Drosophila melanogaster: one gene and its partner. The protein of the gene in region 1 purifies or fractionates together with the protein of each later gene. This does not show direct contact. Each region holds a gene or a part of one and is shown on either strand. Other genes may lie near its edges.

Region 1 (6,103 bases):
CTACAGTCTTGGTGGCTCTAGCGCTATAGAACACATAGATCTTAGTGACACTGATGTTCCCGATTCCGCTAAACTTCGTCAAATTCGACTTCAGCGTTTTAGCGAAGATGCTTCCAACAAGCGACAGAATAAGAAAAAGAGGCGTCGTGTTTCCAGCGACAGCGAGATAATCAACTGGGAGTCCTACGATGATGACGTAATGGTCAGGGATGTTCATACGCCCATCGTCAACTTGGTCGAAAGCTCTAGTGATGAAGAGGAGATGAAGATGCCAGCTGGCAGAAAAACCATGACCAGTCAGGAGCGCACGCAGATCATCAAGCGCCAGGTAATGGAGGATGAGTTGACCTTGTGTGAGGACGATATCCTCTTAATTGATGATGAATACGACGATGAGGTGGCCGCAAATGAATCTTTAACAGCCGCCACGGAGCTAGCTGACCAATCCATTATAGATGATATTTTTGGAGAGGACACCCTGCTGAAGGAGTTCCAGCGTGAGAACGACGTGCAGCCCAGTTGCTCAAGCTACGCCAAAAGAATTGAGAACGACATCGTATCTTGTCCCATTTGCTTTGAGAAAATGAGGCGCACTGAGTTGTCCAATCACTTCGATGGCTGCGCCATTATGGTGCGCTTGGAACCGCCATCGTTTAAGCCTAAAAACCGCCGAACAACTGCTTCCTTAACCTCAAAGGACTCGTCGGGAGCTTCCACATCACGCCGCGCTAAATCGAAAGCAAAGTCATCAAAAGGAATTCTTCGCAGCTCCGGTTACACAGAAGGGGAGATCGACAAGCTCAACCTGAGCTCCTCTACCGACTCGTCTACTCTGCCGTCTAGCGAGGACGAACTTACTCCGCGTCAGCGCCGCCAGCGCAACCTCTTCAAAGAGACCGTAGGCTGCCCCAGATGTGGCCTGGAGATCATGCCTCTACACCTGAAGGTCCATGGATCCGTCTGCGCTGGTCGCAAGAAGCGCTAGGACAAAAAACATCTCATACAAAACATAATTCGTTAAATAGAAACTAATGTTAACTTTAATGTTATTAAAAACATGTTACAGGATTCGCCCAAAATATCGCACATTCTTTTTATCCAAATAGCGCGTGGCCAACGCCGGCCAGTGGACCACAAAGAGGTCCGCCAGCGGAAGGAGCAGGCGTCCGCTCAGCGACAGCGTCTCCACGCGGCAGAAGCTCTCCACGAACACTATTCTGGAGTGCGAGGGCAGGCGTCCGAGGAGGCGCCACAGATAGGCGGCATAGCAGAAGGGCACACAGGTGCCGGGTCCATTGCAGAGGATCAGTTGGGGGCGATCACGCCAGACCAGATAGCAGCTCCAGAGAAGCGCCCACAGGCTGGTGAAGATGCTGCTTAGCCAGGATTGGCCCACGTCGCGGCTGCGCGGCACCTTCACGAATTCCGCCCTCTGGGCAGCCTGCGGCAGGACCTGCCTGAACTGGCGCTCGGAGGTAGAGTCACTGTTGGCCAGGATCAGTCTAATTGGCTGGTACTTCTCCGTCTGTTCGATGTCTGTCTGTTGCAGCAGCGCCTGGGTCAGCCGGCACATCTCCGCCGTGTGGCCGCCAGAGCCCAGTATTACGTAGGTGGGGTGAGGCGAGCTGGTCGTCATATTGCCCTTCGAAAACTCAATTTAAATGACAACATTTACAATTGTTTACGTTTCAAGTCGATTGTCGATCATCCACGAACAGCTGTTTCCATTGCTATCGATAACTGAACCGATAATTATGCCGGTGTACCATTTACGTTGTTGTCATTGCTGAGGGCGCCATTTATAGAATTTATTGGATCTCAATCAGAAAGCGGAGCGAAATGGCTCCTCCCGCCCAGAAGGGTAACCTACGGAAGCGCTCCGGCAAGACCTCGACGGCAGTCAACTCCGCCATAAACGAGAACGTGCGAAAACTGGTCAGGAGCCTGTCGGAACCGGGGGTATGTTTTAAAACAGATGTTATCCCTATTCCAATTTAACCAACTTAAAACGCAGACGAGCCAGAAAAAGTTGCGCCAGATGGAGGATACGGCATTGAAGATAATCGCCAACCAACGCAGGACATGGGCTCCTACAACGACGGACATGGAGGTGAAACGCAACCTGGACGATCTGGCAGAGCGTTTTCGGGCGGAGGGCATGGCGTCTTTTGGTGAGAGCATCAAGGACTTGGCCATCAGGTATTTGGCTATGGACGAAAATCAACAGCAATTCAATCCTAACCCCGGATGGCAAATGCTCGAATTGCTGTTTCGCATAGCCGATAGGCCGGTGCAAAAGATCCGGCTGAACCGCGAGTTCATGGAACAGCGCCGTCTGTCCATAATTAATAGCATGGAGGAAGCCGAGCGACAGGCACAGATAGAGGAACAGGCGAAACTGGAGGCAGCCAAGAATACCTCCGAAACGGAGGTGGACTGGGCAGCGCTGCTGTCCGAGGATTTTCTGGATCCGCCAGAGGATGACAGCTCGGACAGCTTAAGTGTGAGCATCTAGAGAACCCCAAACATATGTCATCTGCTACACATATGTAGCCTGTTCTTTCCATAAAATCATTTGCAGCATACTAATACCTTTACCTTCTTTCCAAAAGGACTGGTCGGAGGAGTCGGACTGCGACTCGACAACTACTCTGAAGCCCGATGAAAATATTGGCGTCTCGCGAAGCCTCTTGGAAATGGCCAGGGTGTACGAGCAGGCCATGATGGCAGTCGTTCCGACTGGAAGTGTTAACAAAACGTATATGCCGCCCGAGCAGAGCGTGATCCGGAGTTACGACTTTCGGATAATGAAACCAACTGTTCTAAGCCTCAACAACTTAAAGGGCAGCCATCTGAGACGAAGCAAGCTGCTCCAGTTGCCGCCACCCCAACCGCCCCGACCATTCACCCAATATTGGCAAAGTGGCAACACAGATACGCTCTTCCGTAAAATCCATTCCCACTGGTGGTGCCAAGATGTCCATTTAAACGCCCTGCCCTCCAGTGCTAAGCCACTGGACAACTTTGCCGTCAGCTACGTGCAGTTTCTGAATCACAATGCCCGAGGCTTGTTGGCCCTGCCAGTGCCGAAAACCATCACGGAGCCCTGTCTGCTAAGGGAGATCCTCTTCATGTTTGTGCGTCCAGCGAGCTGTTGTTTCTTTGAATTCGACAAGGCCACGCGACGCATTACTGTGCGTGACAATGTCAGTATTTGTACGGTGACTGCGGTAAGAAAGTCGAATCGTTAATGTGTAACTCTATCTTTAGTCCGGCTTTTTTTTTTGTAGAGCACAATGCAAAATTTTCTGTTATTTGATGTGGTGCCTGCGCTGGAGGACATGATGGAACTGCGTCACATCATCGATACTCATACGTTGCATTTTCATGGCGTAAAGACAACATACACCGTGGAGTTCTTTGCATACGGCCTGAGAGATCTTGTCCAGCCCATTTGCCAGCTCCTCATCGCTTACGAGGATCGTGTCAATAAGGATCCAGCGAAAAATACACTGATCCGTTTTACGATTGAGTTCAGGGAACATTTTAGCCAGCTGCGCTTACTGCGAGAGCTGGCCGAAGATGTCATCCTGGATAAGGGACCTGCGCACATACGCAGTGCCTACTTGCTATCCAGACTGTATAAGCACACCTTGCTGCAGGTGCCGCACCAGAAGCTGGCCACTGCCCTGCTGTTTATATCTCTCAAGCGATATTGTATCATCATCGACGGCTGGTGGCGCAGGGCCGCGCTGGAAGATCACCTTCGCGAGTTCATCGTGGAGTTTTGGTAAGCCAAAATGGTGCTCACACATCACTCTGGCCAGCTGAAGTCATAACTACATTGTTTTTAATAGTTACGAGGAAGATGCGAACACACGTAGCCACGTGCGCAAACGAAATATGGGAATGGAGGATGATTTGCTACTCGTGGAGATCTTCAACAAGCTGCAATCCTGCCCACTCTACCAGCTACTGCTGGAGCATGCCTTGGAGTCTGGCGAAACGCAAGATTTGCTATGTAGTGTAAATACGCTGAGCGAAATGCTGACCAGCAACAATGAAATCCAACTGCCGTCGCTGCACGATGAGCTGTTCACGCAGTTCTTTGCGCAGCTAAAGGTTTACTGTGGTGCGGACAACACGGATTACGAGGATGAGCCGGAGCCGGACAAAGACTACGAAGATCTGACTGTGTGCAATAGGCAGGGCATTAGGAACCATGAACTTTTCGCCATATTTACCCAGCCGTTGGTGGAACAACGTTTGGAGCGACAACGTGAGCGGCTTAAAAGCAACCCCGTTCTAATGGCCAACATTTTGAAGCGCTTGGAGCGCTCCACATGTCTGCAGCTGAAGTCTGAGTTGCCGGAGGCACTGCGCGAAATACTGCGAAGGAGACAGTGGCTGGCGAACGAGTACGCGATTCGAGCGTACTGCAAGGAAACGCAGGTGGCCGAGAAGATGCGATTCCTGCGGCATACGATGCTGCTGGAGAAATACTACCTATTTGTGCCATACTACAACGCACTCTTCGTGCGCATGGAGAAAAACAATAGCTGGGCACTGGGTTCGGTGCTCACTTCTAAGCTATGCGCTGTGCTCCTTCCGCATTATCCGCAATTGGCTCATTATCTTCATGTCAAGTTAATATCCCAGATAAACTCGAATTCAATCAAGGTCTATGAGGCCCTGGAGGCTATTGAACTGGACTTCGAGCGGCCAATGGCCATGCACCAGTGGTACATTCTCACACCCGCGCACATGCAAGACTACAATTCGGTGTGGCGTCTGATGCTGAAGGTGAAGTGGGCCGTCTGGAAGCTGGAGAATATGCAGTTTTTGCGTCGCGCTAGGTTCAATCCCTGCGCACCACTGGATTTGATCGGTCTGACCATTCGTCGCCTGGAGATTGTGCGCTTCTGGTTAATTTTCCTCATCAACAACCTGCACGCGCACATTATGGAGGCCGTGAGCCGGCAGTTCGAGCTCAGGATTGGCGAGTGCAAGAATGTCCGCGAGTTGCGTATCATGCACGACGAGCACCTGGCGTGGCTGAAGACACACTGTATGCTGACCGACGAATTTAAGGCATTCCGCGTCGCCCTCGACCAGATCTTTCATCTGGTCTACGTGCTGGACATGGAGTGGACCACCTGCGCCAGCTGCATGCACGACCACGATGCCCTATGCTTGGACGTCACCATTTCGGATGACGGCATTGATGACAGCGAAACGCAACGTCGTAGCTTGGAGTACCTGGCGCTCAACCAGGTGGCGGAGATCGAGTTAACGTACATACGTTGCCACCAGATGCTGGCCGACATCCTTAACACGCTGGTGCACCAGAACGATCACGGATTCCGTAAGTGATTGTTGGTCCCGAAATTTGGACATTTGAACTTACTCTTTTTCACTTCGTCTTGCAGTGTCTGCCTTGGAGGAGACCATCAACTCCAGTGTGCCCCATTAGAATCGAATCTCCTCCACAAAGGATCTTGTTAAACATTACGCATTACCATCACCTGCACCACTACCTATAATCCCGACCAAACATTCCCATACCAACTGAATTAAAAGCAGCTTATCTTTGTTGACAAAACCTCACTCGAACTCCTCATCGCTGTCGCCGAAGGGCTCGACGATCGGTGGTGGCGGCGGCAGGGTGGTCACCTCGTGCAGCGTGGGTCGCCGGATGTACGGCTGGCAGGTGAGCTCGCACATGCGGGCGCTGGCGAAGACCGTGCGATGTGGGTAGCAATTACCGTTGACGTGCTCGCAGCGCCGGTAGGCGGATTGGCGATTGAAGACGTACAGATCGGCGCATGGCGAGCAGTTGGCCTGGCCTATCAGTCGCGTCTGCAGGCACTGGAAGCGGCGATCGCTGGCGCTGATGCCCATGGACACCTGGCGTATGGCCATGGCCAGGGCGATGGCCACCAGACAGCAGCAATGCACTCCTTGCCGTCGCATAGTCCGTTGATCTCTGCCGCCTCGCCGCTCTATTCGTTTCGCTTCGCCCGTTTAGCTGGTTTCTCATGGTTGGCGTGGCGCTAATGTGTTCCGCCTTCCTTCAATCTTCAATCTGCAGCACCTCAATGTT
Region 2 (4,120 bases), on another chromosome or scaffold:
TAGAGGGCTTGGCTTCTTCTTCAACTACACCGTTTTCCTTATCGGCGGATTTCTTCTGCTTCTTCCCGGGTGCTGGCTCCTTGCCTTCCTTCTTAGCGCGCTGTTTAGTGGGCTTTGCCTTGGTCTTTGGCTCAAGTTCTACCGCAGTCTCACCATTGGTTGTTTTCTTGGCGCGTTTCTTGGGTGCAGCTGCAGTTTTTGGAGGCGATTCCACTTCTTCTTGTACTGATTGAAAATCTCCTACAGTCTCGGGCGATGGCTCAACCATCTTTCCCTTCTTTGCTCGCTTGCTAGCAGCCTTTGGCGGCACCTCATCCACTTCCGGCTCATCGAGAGCAGCTGCGATCTCAGAATCTGCCAAACGCTTGGTTCCGCGTGCCCGCTTGGCAGCTGTCTCAGCTTTCTGCACCTTCTCTTTGCTTATTGTCCCTGGTTCAGCTTGCTCCTTTAACGTTGGTACTGCTTCCTTTCTTGCCCGTTGTTTCGGCGGCTCTGCTGCTTCCTCGGCCCCTCCATTTGCTTCTGCCGGCAGCTCCTTTCGCTTCCGTCCTTTGGCCTGGGCATTCGTTGGTTTCTCAGCCTTAGCGCGTCCCTTAGGCGGTGAAGACGTCACTTCGTCAGGAGCAGGAGTGGGCTCTTTTTTGGCACGTGGCTTAGTTGCCTTTCCAGCTGGTAGATCGACTTTGGGTTCTGGTTCTGCTTCTGCAGTTGCCTTCTTGGCGCGTCCCTTCGGCTTGGCCACCACCTCCATCTGGCCGTTTTCGTCTGTATCCTTCGGCTGCTTCTTCTTGCCACGCGCGGCTGCAGTGGGCGCCTTTTGTGGCTCGACTTCCTCGGAGTTTTCCGCAGATACAGCCGTCTTGGTGGCTTTCCTCGCGCGCGGCTTTCCTTTTGCCGGCACCTTGAGTTCCTCAGCGGCAGAGTCTGCGTTTTCGTCGACTCCATTCCCATTGGCATTTGGAGTGGGGTCAGTGGGTTCAGATGCCAACGCCTCTGCTTGTTTTTTCACGGCCTTGACACGCGGCATTATGGAGTTCTACTGCTCGGACTGATAGGTTCTCAAAAATGACTTGTATTTACTTCCACAGATTTCCAGCTTTTTCTTTTGCTTGTTTTGCAGAGCCACTGTCGCTTGGTTCAGCACCCGATATCAACAAAAAGAAAACTGCGCGGGCAACGCGATTTTTGCAAGCCGGTCGGCTTGACTTTGGTCTGCTTACAACACTATTTGTGTGCCTTCCTTGGAAAAACACGACTGTGGAGCAAATATTGCACATTGTGACGTCACTAGTAGTACAAATAGTTCGACGTCATTAGTAGTACAAAATGGGTGGAGCTCAATAACCTAATTGAAAAACTTTCTTATAGAAAATTATATTCAAGTTAAGCTTAGTATTGAACTATTAGATTGATATTCATGACATGTTTCGATCTTTCTAACTCATAGTCTTAGATTTCCAACACTTTTTTGCCTTTCCAAAATACAAAGTAGAAAAATGTAATGTTTATTTTTATTTATTTAATTCACAATAAAGGTCTTAAGTAATCATATATATTTTATAACAGAGGGCACACTGCGCCACCTTTCAAATGAGGACGCCATTAAACGCTGCGGTGTTATCAACACTGGACTTTCTTAAAATTACAAAGTACGTCCCCGCTGTGGGATTTTTTAAAAATTTTGTTATAATTCGACGATCTTTTAGTTGTGTTTTATTTTATTTCGACTAATTCGACCTTAAACGCGAAACTTCACTTGACGATTCTGGCCGGAAACAACACACCACAATGCCAAGTGAAATAATTACTTTGCAGCTTGGGCAGTGCGGCAATCAAAGTAGGTTTCTGAAATCAGGACGAGTACCATCTGCATTGCTAAAATCGTTTAAACGCAGTTGGCTTTGAGTTCTGGAAAAGATTGTGCCTGGAGCATGGCATCTCCCCTAGCGGCGTGCTGGAGGACTTTGCCAATGATGGCTTGGACCGCAAGGATGTGTTCTTCTACCAGGCGGACGACGACCACTACATACCCCGCGCGGTGCTCTTGGACTTGGAACCGAGGGTGATCAATACCATAATGGGCTCGGTCTACTCCAAGGTGAGTCCTCTCTAAATAACTTTTAATTTTTTGCGCCAAACCTACTATTAACTCCCGTAGCTCTACAATCCGGAAAATGTGTACCTATCCAAGCACGGAGGCGGTGCGGGCAACAACTGGGCCTCAGGCTATAGCCAGGGCGAAAAGCTGCAAGAAGAGGTATTCGACATCATTGACCGTGAGGCAGATGGAAGCGATTCGTTGGAGGGCTTTATACTTTGCCATTCGATTGCTGGCGGAACGGGATCGGGAATGGGCTCCTTTATCATGGAGCGCCTGGCGGACCGCTATCCCAAGAAACTTATCCAAACATTCAGTGTGTTTCCCAATCAGGACGAGATCAGTGATGTAGTGGTGCAGCCATACAACTCCATGCTCACCCTGAAACGTTTGACTACGGCTGCGGACAGTGTGGTTGTCCTGGACAACACTGCTCTTAATCGTATTGCCTGCGATCGCTTGCACATTCAGAATCCCAGCTTTTCGCAGATCAACAACCTGGTCTCCACCATAATGAGCGTCAGCACCACTACGCTGAGGTATCCATCCTACATGAACAACAATCTCATTGGGCTGACGGCTCCTTTAATCCCGACGCCCCAGCTGCATTTTCTCATGACAGGCTACACGCCGCTGACTAGCGATTCGGATATCCATACCCAGCAGCTGGTTAATGTGCGAAAGACTACTGTTCTAGATGTAATGCGGCGTCTGTTGCAGCCCAAGAACATGATGGTGTCCACTGGTCCCGACAAGTCAAATCATCACTGCTACATCTCCATTCTAAACATTATCCAGGGCGAGGTGGATCCCACTCAAGTGCACAAGTCACTGCAGCGCATCCGCGACCGCAAGATGGCCCAGTTCATTCCCTGGGGCCCCACCTCTATCCAGGTAGCCCTTTCCCGCTCATCGCCCTACGTGCAGAGCAACCATCGAGTGTCCGGACTGATGCTGGCCAACCACACCAGCATTTGCTCGCTTTTCGAGCGAGCTCTCAACCAGTATGACAAGCTTCGCAAGCGCGGCGCCTTTCTTGACCAGTTTCGACGCGAGGACATCTTCAAGGACGACCTCAATGAGCTGGACGAATCTCGCGAAACTGTTGACTGCCTGGTGCAAGAGTATGAGGCAGCCACGCGTGAGGACTACATGCAGTTTTCAGTGAAGCGGGGAAATGGGCCAGTTGACTCCAAGTCGGAGGATAGTCGATCTGTGACCAGCGCCGGTTCCTAGTTCGCTTGTGCCAGAAGAAATGCGTGCCATGCATCTTAACCAATGTATTTTAAAATGTAATATTCTCCAATGACGATGGGATTCGAAATCCTTAAGTAGTAGTGATAAGACGATTGTTGGTATGACTCGCATGTATGTAAACGCTGTTTCGTCTTTTACGATATTTAACGTTCGTATTTCCATTGTTGCAAAATTACACATGAGATTTCCCGATCATGTTTAATATGTGACACATTAAATAAAAAACAGTTTTTAAATGTGGTAGTGAGTGTTTATTGAGAAGTATATTACATATTTCTTTGGTGTATTTTATAATATGAAATCCTTATGGTTAATGTCGACTTGAGGCAGTATGAACTGATATTGCAGTGAGAATTCACTTGTGAAGCTGCACGATACTGCTGTCCTTGTTCCGTTGTCATGTCATTTCGTATGTCAAATATGTTTAGGGTGTGTTATTCAGTTTAAAATGTTCCTATTGTATTGAAGAAGAAAAGAGTTAGATATATAAAGCACATTTTATAAATCAAGGAAGTTTTTCGTTACCATGAATCCCGTTACCCATCGGCTTGCTTACAAGGAGCATGTGTCTTCATTAACCACCTCAGCGTTGCAATTCTCTTCCTCCTGATGAGGCTCTTCGCACTCCTCGCCCTCCGCTTCAGGAGTGACCTCTACATCATTGCTCTTCTCGCCCGGCTCCTCTTCAATGAACTCCACATCATCGTGTTGCTCTTCAGCTGCCTCTTCCACCTCATCATGATCTTCAGTCATCTCATTCTCATT

What was found. The genes of interacting proteins can lie anywhere in the genome.
Region 2: the proteins of Grip128 (region 1) and gammaTub23C purify together in Drosophila melanogaster (affinity purification with western blotting; 3 studies listed by BioGRID, with this or other methods). This does not show direct contact.

The regions. Positions count from the first base shown.
Region 1 is NC_004354.4:15,467,776-15,473,878, reverse strand, and holds Grip128 (Grip128), read left to right. Parts: upstream 1-1,759; 5' UTR 1,760-1,839; coding exon 1,840-1,959; intron 1,960-2,014; coding exon 2,015-2,503; intron 2,504-2,612; coding exon 2,613-3,230; intron 3,231-3,290; coding exon 3,291-3,790; intron 3,791-3,857; coding exon 3,858-5,365; intron 5,366-5,429; coding exon 5,430-5,473; 3' UTR 5,474-5,598; downstream 5,599-6,103. Other genes in the region: mh (maternal haploid), read left to right, coding at 1-985; Alg14 (ALG14, UDP-N-acetylglucosaminyltransferase subunit), read right to left, coding at 1,061-1,636; CG15641 (uncharacterized protein), read right to left, coding at 5,605-5,973.
Region 2 is NT_033779.5:2,971,271-2,975,390, forward strand, and holds gammaTub23C (gamma-Tubulin at 23C), read left to right. Parts: upstream 1-1,620; 5' UTR 1,621-1,788; coding exon 1,789-1,837; intron 1,838-1,895; coding exon 1,896-2,098; intron 2,099-2,158; coding exon 2,159-3,334; 3' UTR 3,335-3,588; downstream 3,589-4,120. Other genes in the region: Rrp1 (recombination repair protein 1), read right to left, coding at 1-1,027; CG9641 (uncharacterized protein), read right to left, coding at 3,908-4,120. UniProt on the Drosophila melanogaster protein: Tubulin is the major constituent of microtubules. The gamma chain is found at microtubule organizing centers (MTOC) such as the spindle poles or the centrosome, suggesting that it is involved in the minus-end nucleation of microtubule assembly.